Linked DNA regions of Stegostoma tigrinum. The protein of the gene in region 1 purifies or fractionates together with the protein of each later gene. This does not show direct contact. Links are inferred from orthologs where the notes say so. Each region holds a gene or a part of one and is shown on either strand. Other genes may lie near its edges.

Region 1 (7,969 bases):
TGGGGACTTGGCCCCTCCAGGACTCGCTCCAACCCGTGTCCGCTCTGCTGACTTCGTTCTGACCCATGCTCACTCCACTACGGTGTGCTCAGCTCCCGCCCAGTCACCGGAGGGATTCCTTTCTTCAGGTTAGAGTTAAATAGTTGAAGTTAAAAATAGTTAAATTTTGGGGGGGGTTGAGGGGGTGGGGAATACTGCAAAGGGGAGAGGGAGATAAAAAGAAAAGAAAAAAGAAAAGGAACTGGTGAGGAGAGGAACTCCAGCAGAGGAGTGTCTTAGCCTGCCACCATCTTGACCTGGTAAAGAGTCAACCACATGGTTGGAATCACATGTAGGCCAGGCAAGGTAAGGATACCAGATGTTCTTCAGGGTATTAGTGAATTATGGTGATTTTAATGACAATTGATAGTTGTTATACACAGCAAGCCTTTTATTCCGGACCATACTTCGCTATCTGCCATGTCCCAGAACATTTTCCCAGAGTTCTGCATTAGCCAAGTGAAATTATCAATATGCCATCACAACCCGCCCAAAAAAAGTGGATACCTGCAGACGGCAGAGATGTCTTTACTTGGGGAATCTCAAAGAACTTGTGAAGGAGAAAACATAAGGATGCACTGTTAGGACGAGATAAGGAAGGGGTGCGAGGAGTCTTGTGTAAGCAGAAAAACATGCACATGTCTAGTTGTCTAGTTTGGGGCTGAGAAGCCTGTTTCTTGTGCTGGAAATTCCATGTAATTCTGCTTTCTCCTTTTTAACTTGCTGAGGGTACTGGCTCCAGATGGAATCCAAACTCGCCATGGAATCAGTGACCTGACTGGGTTGCACACCTGTCACTGAGCCAGTTGTAGGTTGGTGGGTTCAAATCCAGCTCCCCAAGTTATGAGCACAAACAGTTGAGGCCAAATCCTTAGAGAGCACCAGTCGTGTCAGTAAGTGTTAGCGTGCTAGGTCTTTTGGTCTAGGCCTGTCAGAATAATCACACACTCTCTCTCTGTCGGCACTGATAGAATTAAAGGCCAGTAAACGCAAAAGTAGTCCTTGTAGCTCATCAGATCTGTTCATGTTGCACATTTGGTTTAAAAACAAAAGCAAATGTGTTGCTTGATCCTGACTTTTGCTATTGTTGGGAAGAGATGTATTTACTCGCAAGTTTCTAACTGTTAACTGTCTCAGCTGAACTCAAGATATTTTTAAGTGCACAGGCCACTTTAACAGCAATACCTCACATTCATGTTTAACGTTCCAAGGCGCTTCACAGGACTGTTATGAGATGGAATTTTGACATTATAACTTGTAAAGAGATGTTGTGGTGGGTCGAACAAGAACTTAGTCAGTGTTTTAAGAAGCATCTTAAAGAAGCAAAATGAGAGGCAGAAAGGTTTAGGAAGGGATTTCCAGAGCCTGGGGCACAGAGAGGAAGGCTTGATTGTCACTGGCTGAACTATGGGAATTGATCATCTTCAAGAGACTGCAATTAGAGAAGTGCAGAGATCTTGAAGGGTTGGAGGACGTTGTAGAGGCAGGGAGAAATAAGGCCTTAGAAGCATTTGAAGACATGGATGCAAGTTTTAAAATCAAGGTGTAGCTGGACCTGGGAACAAGTTAGCTCAGCAAGCACAGAGGATGATGGGAAAGCCTTAAAAGAAGCTTATTGGTTTTTGAAGCTTGGAGGTTAATGCCCAATTGTGAGCACGTAACCCAGACTAACATTCCCAATGCAGTCCTGACAGAGTGCTCTGCTGTCAGGTGTTCCTTTATTTGAATAAGATGCCTTCTTCTTATGATGATGCAAATCATCTCATGATGTAATTAGGAAAGGGCAGCATGTTCTCTTCTTTCTCTAGGCTGACATTATCTCCATACCTAATGCCACCCAACAGATTATTTAGTTATTTATTAATATGTTTTTGGAGTCTTGTTGTGTGCTATTTTAGTTTTACATGATGCATTGTCAGTATTTGGAACACGCTGCCTGACAGTATGGTGGATAAAACTTGTAGCCTCCGCAATGAAAATGGATAAGTCAAAGGAGGAAAATAGCAGAGGTGTAGGAGGAAAGGGGTGTAGCAGGAGGGTGAAGGACCATTGAGATCGCTCATGAAGCATCCAGCAGAGACCTAATAGGGTGAGTGCCTTCTTCCATGCTGCATCATTCCATGATTCATCCTGTTGATTTTGCCACATCATTAAACCATCATGTTAATACTGTTAAACTGCATATTACAAAATGAATGTAGAAGCGTTGAAGAATGTACATTAAAAATTCATGGAGCTGATGGAAGACCTGAAAGGTTGAGGCTATCACTCAAAGCTAAATAGGCTGAATTTATTTTCTCTGATAACAGTACTGAGGATTTTAAAATTAGACAGGAATTTGGTAGAGTAGATGTAGAAAAGATGCTTGTGGGTGAGGCCAGAAATTAGGGCCATCTATATCAGACAACGAAAATAAATCAGGAATTTAGAAGAAACATCTTTACCCAGAGAGTGAGGAGGATGTGGAACTCACTCCCACAGGGAGCAGTCAAGGGGAATAGTATTAATAAATTGAAGAGGGGAATATGCTGATAGGGAGAGATGAAGAGGGGTTGGGAGGAGGCTTGTATGGAGCAGATATACAGATAGGCCAAGTAGATTGCTTCTGTCTTGCAAAGATGGGTTAATAGGGAAGAATATAAAAACAGTAAAAATATGTTGAAGAATCAAGAGGGGTGGGACTCAGTGATATTTTGACACGAATTAAAAATTAGAAAAGTCATTTACTTGTTGCCAAAGAATATATGTAGCTTTATGACTTGCTAAACACAGACTTAATTTCATTTCCGAATGAGATTTTCACAAAATTGGTTAGTTTCTAAATGATATTTTCACAGAATTGGATGTCATCCTGAATTCTCTAGTGACATCTCCAGATACTCCAGATAGCACTTATTTACAGAGTCCTTGTTGTTGTCAATTTGCTATAACAACACACAAATGCACTACCTAAAATCTGGATGTCAAAATCCAAGATTATGCATTTCAATCCCGAAATGGCGAAAAGAAAAAAAAGTACACATTTTCTTGGCACAAGCATTTTATTAATAAAGTATTCATAGATTATGGTACCTTAGTACCTGTTGGAATTAGTGTCACTTCTAAGTGAACAGGAGCCATGTTGCACTTGAAATGTTAACTCTCTTCCTGTCTTCACAAATGCTACCAGATTAGTTGAATTTCTCCAGCATTTGTAGTCTTTATTTTATATTAGTATCATTTGGTCGCATTCTCAGCTCCAAGTCAGTACGCCATGAGTTCAAATCTCACTTCAGGATTTGAACACGTAATCCATGTCAATACTAGAGCAAGGCATCAGGTGAGTGTTGAACTAATGGAGGGGTCATCTCTTGGATGATGCATTGCGATGTTAACTAATTATTTAAGTCAATGCAAATTATTCCCTCGCCATGATTTGAAGATGTGGGGGCTTTTCCTCAATGTCCATGCCAATACATTGTCCTCAACTAAAAGTACAAAAACCTGAGAAGTGGTTAATAAAGGAATTTCAGACATTTCTTTCTGGAACCTTTTGAATATGATCAAATTATACAAAAAAAGAAACTTTCTGGCTAAGAGTTGTATAATCCTGCAATTACATAACAAAGGTCAAAATTGTTTTGACAAAAACAAATTCGAAGTAATCTCTTCATGCAAAGCCTTAAACACTGAAACCATCTGCAAGGTAAAGAGAAATTGCTAGAAGTATGCAAACTTTGCTAATATTTTTGCTGTATGTCTTATCTTTTAGGATTGTCTTTTGAATGTCTGGGATTTTTTTAAATGTTGGGTATCTCTCCAGAGATGCACATACACAGGCAGACATTCCCACCTTCCATGTCGATGAAGATTCAGGCAAGTGCCAAAGCTTCTGGGTGCAGCCGAGTTAATGGAGCACTTTCACCAAAAAAGTGCATTTATATCATGCCCTTCACAACTTCAGAAGGGTACAAAGCTTTAGATAAATTTGAAGTGCAGTCACTGCTGCAACATAGGAAACACCACAGTAAATTGATGTAAGATAAGGTCCTGCAAACAGCAACGTGCTATTGACCAGATAATCTGGGGATAATTTTTGTTTGAGGGATAAATATTAGCTGGAGCTAATGAAGAGAACTCCCCTGCCCTTCTTTGAAACAGAGGTCATGGGATATTTTACGTCCCACTGAAGAGGTAGACGGTGTCATATTTTAATATAACATCTGAAAGATGGTACTTCTGACGAGGCAGTGCTTCCTCTGAAGCGCTGAGAAAGTCGGCTAGAATGTAGCGCTCAAATCTCTGCCAAGGGAATATAAAGTCACAGCCTGAGTGCTACTCACTGAGCCACCAGACATGAATCCCTTGGGAGCAATGTTGCACCAAATATATTGTTTCTGCTGCTTTAATACAGTGTCCAACAAATTGGGGCCATCAGTTTTTTTAGGTTTGAAGTGGAAAATAACATTGCCAGTGGGACTTTTTAAAAAAAAATGCTGTTTCTTTTGGTTCGCGGGAAAATTTTGGAGATGAGATAGGGGACAATTTTTTTTAACAAGTTGCTGTGAGGACCCAGGGACATTGAGGAGAGGAAAGAAGCGGGCATCTTTCTTCGAACTGGGTAGGAAATGTTTGAGCATGAAAAGAAGAAGGAAGATGCTCATGTTTGACCGAGCAGAGAGGACCAAAATATAAGTTGAAAGTTGACCTTGAAGGTGTTTATCATGATGTTAATGAATCAGGAGCAATAGGGCCAAAAGGAGGCTGACCACCCTCACCAACTTGACTGAAAAATGGCAATTGCTGGACATCCCCTGGTTACTTGGTTAAAGACCCACGTGAGTCAGTCCTAACTAGTTAAACTGGTGCTATTATGGGATGCAGGGTGCCCATAGCAACGGGAGGGGGTGACGTCAATCTGAGCATGAGCACTGATTAATTTTCCACCTTTTTTCTCTTCAAATTCCCCCCCCACCAAATTTCATAATGGGGGGGTGGAAAATATTTTGGACGCCATCTTTTCTTCCCCTTGTATATTAAAACATTTTTGAGGGGGTTTGGTTAAGTAGCTTGGAACTTTTTCCTTAAGAAAGGGAAGGGGGGGTCTTTAAATTGAAAACTAGCGAAGGAGAGAGATCTGATCTTTACAGGAAACCCTCACACAAAAACAAAAGTCTGTAGGATAACTTTTGTTTGTGTGTATAGGGGAAAAAATAGAAACCGTTGGGGGGGGGGGGTGTTCCCGAAGAAAGACTGGCGTAGCTTTCGTTATTTTGTGTACATATATGAAAAGGGAAGGGGGGAGAGGAAAGAGAGTGAGGAAATATATTTTTATTGAGTGAGTAGGGAGGGGTGGGCGAAATTCCTGAGGCCATGGCATCTCCAGTGAGGCACCCAGAAGAGGAGGAGGATGAGGAGGACATGGACGAACGCAGCGGCGCCGGTTTGCAGCTTTTCCCGCCAGCGGCAGGTTAGCGCGCGCGCCGCTTTCCCCGGGGCCGCTTCTAAAAGCTATTTTTCTCCCAACCCCAAAATTGCAAAAACCTTTCGACATTAAGTGCTCGGGTAGAATGCACGAGGGGCGGAGGGCTGCAATGGCAATATGGCATCTCTTCCCTTCACCCCCACGAATTATTTTTTTCCACACCCACAGCCCCCCTCCCCGTGCAGTCGTTTGTGTTTTTTTTCTCATCTCTCAATATTTGGTTGGTGTCCTCTCCGACGCCGGCGTTTTATTTTTCTTTCGGTTTGGCCGGCTGCACGCGTTAAAGCTATTTTTCTTTTGGGAATGTTCCCCCCCCCCCCGGATTGTTGGCTTGCAGCGGCCGTAAAGTTCATTCTCTTTCTCGCGCCGTTTAAACCCTCACTCCTCCTCCCGCTCCCTGTGCCCTCAGACGCGGCTCCTGCTGCAAGTGGAAGCCCGAGCCCCGGGGGCCGCGCGCTCCTTGTGCTAACGGCCGCGCCTGTCAATCAAACGCTGCTGCTACAACAACAACCCGCCGAGGGGGCGAGTGACAGACAAGACACAGAGAGAGAGAAGCACGATCTCCCGGCGAAACAAACCTTCCTTTTTCCGACCCCCACCCTCGACAATATCTGTGTAAATACCCCCCCACCCGGGGCGGACTTTAAATTTTCTCTTTGTGTGCTCCTCTTGTGAGCTCCACGGATGTTTTCATCTGAGGTAATAAACCCCCCCCCTTCACCATAGGTGCGATTTATATCTTTGTGATATCCTCAATTGCTCGTTGTTTGCCCTGTCTTCCTCTTCCTCCTCCCCCCACAATAAGATCGGCTGCCAGTTTGTTTAGTTGCCCATTTATCCTTCTTTTCTCCTCCTTTCGCGCCCCCCCCAAAAAAAAACAAAGCCGGCGGCCGCCATTTTCTCGCTCGGCGGCGGCTCCCTTTAACTCTTTCACTGCCCCGACACCAGCCTTCCTCCACGTACAGCATCTGCTCTCCCCAACTGATCCGCCTCAGAGGCATGTGGAGCTGAGACACACCTTCTCCCCCGCCAAACGGTAACTTTTTGAACAGTGGAATATCTTGGAATGTCCCGATGGCCAGCTCCTGTTCCAAGACCCTGAACTCACCATCCTCACCCTCTCTTCCTTAACCCAGTACATCCTTCTCCACGCTTTTCCGTTATTCCTGATTTTTTTTAAAATTTCTGTGTGCCCCTATTCTACCGCTGCAGCAGCTGCGTTGGTTTTCTAATGGTCCCCAGTGCTGGCTGATCCCTGGATGCTTTCTATCGAAGCATAATTCATATATTAAAAGAACACTTAAGTAGAGAACAGGGTGCCGAGCTGGATGAACACAGCAGGCCGGGCAGCATCACAGAAGCAGGAAAGCTGACATTTCGGGTCTGGACCCTTCTTCAGAAAATTGCATTAATTGGCTGTGATCTGGTTGAAGGGCAGAGCAGGCTCTAAGCCGAATGGCAACCTCTAAGTACTTAAGGCCTTGGTGTTTAATGCTGCCGAATTGAAACAGTTGCACATTTCTTGTTTCAGCAGAAGATGTGGAAGAGGAGGACGAAGAGATTTCAGACAGTGAAAGTACCAAAAAGAAGAAGAAGAAATTCCTGAAAAAACAAAAGGAAAATAAACCAACTAAGCTGAAGAAGCGGAAGAAATTGGTGAGTAGCAGCAAGTTCTCTGGTTATTCACCCTGCAGCTAGATATTTTCCAGTTGACCTGTTCAGTCATATTATGATGTACCTCTGGAGCAGTTGGTATTTGCTCCAAATGGTATTTGTTCCTTCTGACCCAGAGATACCAGTGAACCCCAATGGCCCTTCCCATTAGAAAACGTATGCTGCAGGACTAAAAAATGGATCTTCCATGTAGCCTATTCTGCCACCTTGCCACCGCACCACCTCCTTTTGAGGACGAAGCTGGATGGAAAAAAGAATCGCCGTGTGCTCCATTAGCCATGCAGGGGATGATGGAGTAGACAAACTGAAACCCTAACCCATTAAAAATCCATTGACTTTCCATATTAGCAGATGTTCACCTGCACATCTGCCAATGTGGTATACTGTATCCACTGCACCCGGTGTGGCTACCTCTACATTGGGGAAACCAAGCGGAGGCTTGGGGACCACTTTGCTGAACACCTCTGCTCAGTTTGCAATAAACAACTGCACCTCCCAGTCACGAACCATTTTAACTCTCTCTTCTCCCCCCCCCCCCCTTCCTCAGACGACATGTCCATCGTGGGCCTCCTGCAGTGCCACAATGATGCCACCTGAAGGTTGCAGGAACAGCAACTCATATTCCGCTTGGGAACCCTGCAGCCCAATGGTATCAATGTGGACTTCATAAGCTTCAAAATCTCCCCTCCACCCACTGCATCCCAAAACCAGCCCAGCTCGTCCCCGCCTCCCTAACCTGTTCTTCCTGTCACCTATCCCTTCCTCCCTCCTCAAGCCACACCTCCATTTCCT
Region 2 (7,504 bases), on another chromosome or scaffold:
TATTCCAAAGCATTTCCCAAAATTTTAAAAAATGCAATCATCACACACACGTGGGTCAAAGCAAAATATTCTTTAGAGCAAACAACTAGCTGCTGTTATTGAACAAACTTTGCTTCTGTATCATTAACTGAACTGATTTTTTTAAAAATTGTTTCCTTTTTCTCCAAGCTTTTTAACGGGGAAGGGGTAAGCTGTGTTATTATTTAGTTTTTTTAATTGATTGCTTTTGTTTAGAATAATGCCTGAACTCAACGAACTTCAACAATAATTCCGATGCGTCGAGCCCTCGTGCAGGTGAAGCTCGGCATCAGACTTAGCCCTTTTACCTGGAAGAATATCGGATGGAAAACAGCCAGTAAAGCAGAGTGTGTTTGGGATGGGGTCGGTTTCGTTTAATTTGCTTTTTTTGGTCGGCGGGGGAGGACAAGGAGGAAGATCTGAGAGCAGTCGCTAGGAAATGGTGTTGGAAGTTTGCGCAGGTTGCAGCCTGGGCTTGTTTTTGATGTTACTCTGCCTCCTAGCGACACAAGCGCGCAGCATCGACCCCTCTCCCTTCAGTCCCTCACGCACACTTTAAACAACCTTGATACATCTTCCGTTTAGACCCAATATTCTACATTGAGACGATTCAACGGGGACTTGGCAAAACAGAAAATATTCAGAAAGCCAAAAGTCCGCGATTTCTATCGACAAGACGAATCGCCTTATTTTTCCTCCACTGTCTGGCTTATAAATACATTTTCCCACAATCACTGAATTATGAAAAACGGGTTTTAAACGCGAAAGAAACTCCCACACTACAGTTTTAACTATACTTTATTCGCCAGGTATTTCTTTTCAATTCTCGCCAGTTTGCTCGCTCTGTTGGATTTCAATGTGAAAGCCCAGGAACTGGCCGATCGCAATCTCAGAGATGACGGCAACACTGGAAAATCTGACAACAAACCTGCGGCTTTCCCCCAACAGGAACAAAGTCTCATTTTCACAAAAACCAAAGCTAAAAACTCCCTCTCCCCAAACAGTGTGCTTAACATTCCGGGGGGTGGGGTGGGGCTGTTAATAACTTCCTTCCGAACGTGTGTGGGAACGGAGTCCGGGACCCGGACTCCCCTGCCCCACGGGATCTCGGTGCCGGGAGCTGGACTCTCTCCCAACTCCGTCCACCGGGTTGTCGTTCCCCAGGCTCTCGCTCTCTCTCTCTCCCCCACCGCCCATAGATCTCCCGCTCTCCCCTTCTCTTGTGCTGCCGGGTCTCTCTCTCTCTCTCCCTCCCCATCTATTTCTCCCCACCCCCACGGCTCCGGGATATCTCTCTCTCTCTCTCTCTCTCTCTGACTAGTGTATCCAAAAACTCTGGCGTCTCTACCTCACCACCCACATCACCCCCCACCCCGACCTTCCCGCCGCCCTCCTCCACCCCCCCCCCCGGACTCCCGAATCTCTCCGTCCAGCTCCGGGCTCTCTCTTTCTCCAGCAACATACCTCCGCCAACCCCCACCACCCGTCTCCAAGATCTCTCATTCAGTTATACCGATCCCACCTCGCTCCGGGGTCCCTCTACCCGGGCTTCCTCTCCCCCAGTTCCAGGATCTCTATCCCCGTGTTCCGTCTACGCCCGGGCTCCCACTCTCCGGCCTCCCACTCCTCAGGATCTCTTCCCCCCTCTCCCCGATCTGGCGGATCGCACGTGTGCGCGCCCGGACTGACTGACACCCGCAGCTCGGTCAGCCCCGAGAGTTCCGCGTGTCTGCCCGAGGACAGCAACGCTAACACCCGGGGTTTACAGCGGAGTTTGTGACTCTTCAAAACAAAATTATTAATTAGACTTAATAGTTCTGGGAGGGGATTTGCGAAACGCTGCAAAATGTGAGAGCGTCGGCGCTGGGTTTTTTTTCCATGAGGTTTCCGCACACGCGGAGCTGCAGCTTGTTGTAAACATTCAAGCACGAGATTTTTCCCAATCACAATCTACTTCCAGATTTTTTTTGAAAATCTTCCAAAAAATAGTAAGAGGAGGGAAAGCGGGAGAAGTTAAGCGGTGAATTAAACTTGCGAGCGAGTATGAGACGATTTCCCGGCTTCCGAAGGAAGGAGGAAGGAGAGGGAATAAGTTTAAATTTTTTTGGCGGGGGAGGTGGGGGGGGGTGGAAGACGGATGGGGCTCGGGGACTGATGCCCTTTGAGGGGCGGCGCGATCAAAGCTGCAAAGCCAGCGCCGAGTGTCCGGAGAGGAGGGGGCGGGAGGGGTATCGGCACTTTTTTTGGACTCTTGTTGAGTTTCTTCCTTACAGTTTCGTTGCCCCTCACCTCCTGAGGAGTTTATTCTGATTTCTTCTGTTGTTTTCCACCCCCCACCCTCCTTGGCATGTGGAGGATTTTTGTTTGTGTATGGAGGTGACGGAGGGGGGAAAGGTGGATAAGAGAATTTGAGCGGATCTGGAGCCGGACACTTGGGAGGCTCAGATCCCTGCAGCTGCTCTGCCCCTCAGTCCGGCCACTTGCTGTCAGGAGTCCGGTCAAAGCGCTGACCGATCGAGCCCCGGCGCCGCTGCTGCTGCCGGCACCTCACCAGAGAGAGGGGTGGGTTGCGGGGGGGCCGCCGGGGAAGATCTTTCTTCTTCTTCCCTGCACTTTCAACGGAGCGCTTTATTTTTAAATATGTTTTTTTCCCAAAAAAAGTGGAACAAAAAAAAATTTGAAAGCTACTCACGTGAAAATTCCCGTTTACTCAAGTGCTGAGGGTTGCCTTGCTTGCGGCGAGACATGCTCGGTCACATCGGGAGCGGGAAGAAGGAGACTCCAGAGAAAATATCTTCATCAATGGCTTGACATAAAATAAATTAGAAATAATACAAAGATGGCGGATGGAGATGGATTGTGGGATAGCCGTCATGGCTTTAAAACGACCAAGTTCAAGTGCGTACGTGACGTGCCCGCGAACTTGAACGTCAGGAGGTGGCTGGGCAGGGCGAGAGGAGAGAGCAAGCCAATGATACATACCCAGGGACACGGGGCCGGACAAACCCCACTGCTCACACAGAGTCTCACTAACACACACTCACACTCACTCTCAGTCCCAGGCATCCAATAGGCGCAGCTTCCAGCAGCTTCCAATCAATCCATCATCCGCCTACCGCTGCAACCGCTCCCACCACCCCCCCCCCCCCCACACCACCACCACCATCTACACACCACCACCCCCTTCCCCTTCACACACACACCACCGCCTTCTCTCTCTGAAAGCCACTCCAACCGCGCTCCCCTCCACACCGCTCCCAACTCTCTCTCTCTCTCTTTCTGTGCCAGCCCAAACTGCTGGCAACTCATGGGCGCAACGCTTGCTGGCCAGAACTGGGCAAGTGATGAGACATTTGCGCTGGACAACCCGTGCAGGACATCAGGAAGGGGAACGCACATGCACTCCGCGTTTGTTTTTGTGTCCCCGTTATGATTGCCAACCACGTCCGAAAAGGTTGACATTATTCATAAAGTTAATTATGTGTAGTGGTGATAGGGGGAATAAACAAGGTTTGTAAAGTATTTTATGGTGTAAATACCCAAATGAGTATTAGAATTTGCAGCCCACTGAAATTCGATAGCGTACACGTGAATCCAAACAGCTGGATAGAGCGTAGATATTTACATTTGTATATTATTTTAAATTAAAATCATAAATCATGTCTACTGCCTTCTTTCACTTTCTATGACAAAAGCAACTGCTCCTGAAGGTTGCTGACTCTTTCTGTGCTTATGTGCTTTATAAACATAACGTTATATTATGTTTAGTTTGTGGAATAAAAGGAAGTGTCCTCGACTATCTATTTCCTTAGCGTTACCTGTTATTCGCATCTCTGCTGTTTTCAGTTACTTATTGGCGGATAATTCACAAGACCGTGGAAATGCTTGAAGTAACGTGAATATATAATATGAAGTGAAAATGTTAATCCTATTATTTTTCTACCCTTTGTGTCGCTCTTCTATACAGTATGTTAAACCGAGAACGGCTTGATAATTGATCTTCACACAGTTCATTCTCGTTTTTCAATGGATTTGCAGGTACTTTAGTTGCAGGTATTGGAGTTGAATGCAAATTATGTTTAAAATAGCAATGCTGCTTCTCATTTCAAGATACACATACGGCCCTGTTCATTTATGCGAGGTGAGAAAAGGAGTTTTCGAGTAACCTTTGAAGATTTTGCACCTGCATCGACCGTTTTATTTTAAAAAATGTAATAACATTTCAAGCACACGATTTTTTTAAAGGAAAATGATTTTATGATAATTCTGTTGCCCTTGGTGATACTTGGATGGTTTGATTAAATGTGATGGCTGAAAGTCTAGTCAATCAATATAACATAACAGTTTTTTTATAAATCTGCCCTTCCATGTTTATTTAAAATAAAATCTGCACAACAAACTAGAAAAAAATCGTGTAACATGCTTTGCAATTAGAAAATCGTAAATAAGAAAGAATTTTGTCTCTCGAGTGCATGATTGCAGACTTCAGCGAGATAACTATCGGAATAGGTAGCTTGAAGAATCTTGTTTTTAAAACTTGTGCTGTACTATAAATTTGTACTGATGCAACAGGAACCGTAGAATATGGAAGATTTCAGAGGCGTTTTAAGTCATTGTTTCCATGAAGTATAAGTATTGTGCTCCCCAGACGTAACCTTGTGTGTATGATGGTGCTTTTTTTTGTGGAGTATAAATACTTTTAGCTGGAGGGCCCTAGACGTGAATATGGCTAGCAAAAGATTTCAGGCAGAAGTGAAATTGAACTCATTGCGATCAATGGTGCGATATGTTAACAGAAACTGCGCCATTTTTTTCTTTTCACCAGCTGTAGCAAGTGGTTGAAGGGTTAACTATTTTTACTCTTAACACTCAACGATCAGATAAGATCTGCGGTTGCAGCTGTACCGTCCGTCTCACACGAGGAAGTTAGGTTACTTAAAGTCATGGATGTAAAACAAAATGGTTTTATAACTCTTAACCCGAGGTGGATGGCACTTCTGTTAAAACGGTAAAAGTACATTTCCCATCTGCAAGGATTCCAAATGACTGTAGGTTGTTTTGTTTTCGAACCGTGCGGTTTTCTACAGGAAAAGGGTTCGGTAAATTTATAGGGAGCGAGGGCAAAGCGCTGCCGAACTGCCAGAGCCAAGTTCCTTCCAGCAGACCTCCCCCACTTCTAATGCAAAATTATTTCTGATCTAATCTGCATCTGGAAGCTGGCTGCTAACCTGGTCGCCTTTTATCTACCATCTTGTCCAGTAGTTATGAAGTGAGTTCGCGAATCCAATTATTGCCAAGTCGCAGTCAAATAAAAATGTACAGACACCCACCGCCCGCCCCCCTCCTCCCAACACACAAACACATACATTCACCCCCTGCCCGCCGCCGCCGCGCGCCTCTCCTCCACTCTTTCCTGATTAAAACTACCGGCGCGGATACATGAGTAACTTTTGTGTGTAATGTCTGCCCAGTGAAACTCGGACCCAGCACGGAGAGATCCGATCGAGTGCCTGGAAGAGACTGAGGAGAGGGAGTTGGGGGGTGGGGTGGAGGGAGTATCGACGCATTCGGTAATTTCACGACCACTTCATGGACAAATCCGTAATGAAGGAATTAATTCCATCTTTTGATTAGCTCAGTGACTAACTTTAAGTAATGTAGTCAATGACTGGAGTTGGGTATTCGAAGTCAGACTGATATGCTTAATAAAATGTTCCCAGCACCTATCTGCGCGTGTGTTTTCTTATGGAAGAATTTGGCTACTCGTTTTTAATGCATCCGAATAATTATTTTAGCATTCAGAGCAGCATCGGAGCGTTTCACTTGTGACTCCTTTTATTCTCAGAAACCCCTATGGGTGCCTCCGAGCAAAGCGAGTCAACGATCTATCACGCAGCCGATTCAATAGCAGGCTGAGCTAACCTTGACCTTTACCTAGACCTCGCTCCATCTGGTGCCAGGGTGTTTTTCATAATGTTGATGCCTTGCAGTCAAAATTGATCAACGCGGAATCGACCGCCTGACCTCCTCAAGGGGCGTTGCGAGGTAACCTGGCTGCTTGAAAATCGAGAGAGCCATGTGCAAAACATGGGCAGGAAAATTGAGTGTCCGCTTGGTCGCATTTCAATATGTAAATGATCAGACATTAGCAGTCTCGATCCATTCGCAAAATAAATCAAATCCTTCTGCTGCTTTGTCATTATTTTTACCCCCCGTCTCTTAGATCATTCAGCAAATGTACTTTATATATATATATATATATATATAACCTTTGTTTTCTGTCCGGGACTTGCAGGAGTACCCCTAGCGCCGCCGCCAACCTTTGCTCGGTGATCAGCGCCTTGTTGTTGCTGATTGTAATCAAATGTTTCGCATAATCTACATAGCTTCTGCGGTCAGTGGTCAACAGCTTGCATAATTCGGAAGTTTAATTCAGTTGTCAGGAAGATAAAGTCAGAGTTTTTGGTTTGCAATGCAACAACTAATTGTTGAGTAACTAATTGATCACCCTGTGACGTTTAACTTCGAAGCGCGTTTTAATATAAGGGACAATAAATTTGAAGAAGCATTTGAACGCAGTGGACAGTTGTGGCATGTGACTTCCACTATATTAAAGTGGCTGCACTGTTTGAAGTCTGTCTGTTGACAAGACGGATCTATTTGCAAGACGAAACCACTTTCCTTCAAATATTTTCTCTTTACCACAGTTCCAGCGAGCTTTATTGCACAGGTTCGTCGCAGCACCCATTGAAAAAGGCGAACTTAGCGATGTTTTCAGTATTGTCTGCACAGTCTTGAAGACGTGCCAGCGCTTGCCAGTAAAAATGAGTGTCAATTACAAGCTTCCATATTCCATCCCACATATTAGGAGGCACTTGAGCAGAAAGCGTTCAGATGACGTTTGCACTATATTCAGAAGTGCAAATCGTGTAGGCTTTGTACCAAAACTAATCGCGAACAAAAGATCTGTGTCTTGGCATACAAAATTGAGTGAGAAAGTGTAGCGTTTGAAATGCCCCTGCTGTACAATCCAAACGTAATTGGTGGCATGCATGCTGTGTGCTCTGTTATACATATGGATCTGGTGCTATAATATTCATTGCCTTTGTTCAAGATGAGACAGGCAACCGAGAGGTAGTAGCACAACAAAGATTGTTTTGTCTGTAGCTGGATTTGTATTGCGTTCCCTCTCCCCTCCCCCGCCTTGCCGTCCAGGTGTGAAAAAAACTAGTAAAACTGGATTTTGGCTTCCACCAAATGACATGAAAACAAGTACCTTTCATTAGCTTAGATATATATTGAGCATTTTGGTCTCCACTACCAAAACCTAGAAATCATCCATTGCAAACTACATCTTCCTTAAAGAAACCTTACAACCAGTTGTACCAAACATATTTTTTCTCATTTGTTTCCCTTAAATTGTCTAAAGGATTAGACCCAAATACCAAAGCTGCTCTATATGTGTCATTTAGATATTTTCTCGCGG

The links.
Region 2: the proteins of chd3 (region 1) and bcl11aa purify together in Homo sapiens (affinity purification with mass spectrometry; 3 studies listed by BioGRID). This does not show direct contact. The link is inferred for Stegostoma tigrinum from reciprocal best matches to the Homo sapiens genes CHD3 and BCL11A.

Annotation. Positions count from the first base shown.
Region 1 is NC_081398.1:14,308,346-14,316,314, forward strand, and holds the start of chd3 (chromodomain-helicase-DNA-binding protein 3), read left to right. Parts: upstream 1-4,952; 5' UTR 4,953-5,391; coding exon 5,392-5,488; intron 5,489-7,034; coding exon 7,035-7,159; intron 7,160-7,969.
Region 2 is NC_081362.1:41,927,614-41,935,117, reverse strand, and holds the start of bcl11aa (BCL11 transcription factor A a), read right to left. Parts: upstream 3,020-7,504; 5' UTR 2,766-3,019; coding exon 2,711-2,765; intron 1-2,710. UniProt on the Homo sapiens protein: Transcription factor. Associated with the BAF SWI/SNF chromatin remodeling complex. Binds to the 5'-TGACCA-3' sequence motif in regulatory regions of target genes, including a distal promoter of the HBG1 hemoglobin subunit gamma-1 gene.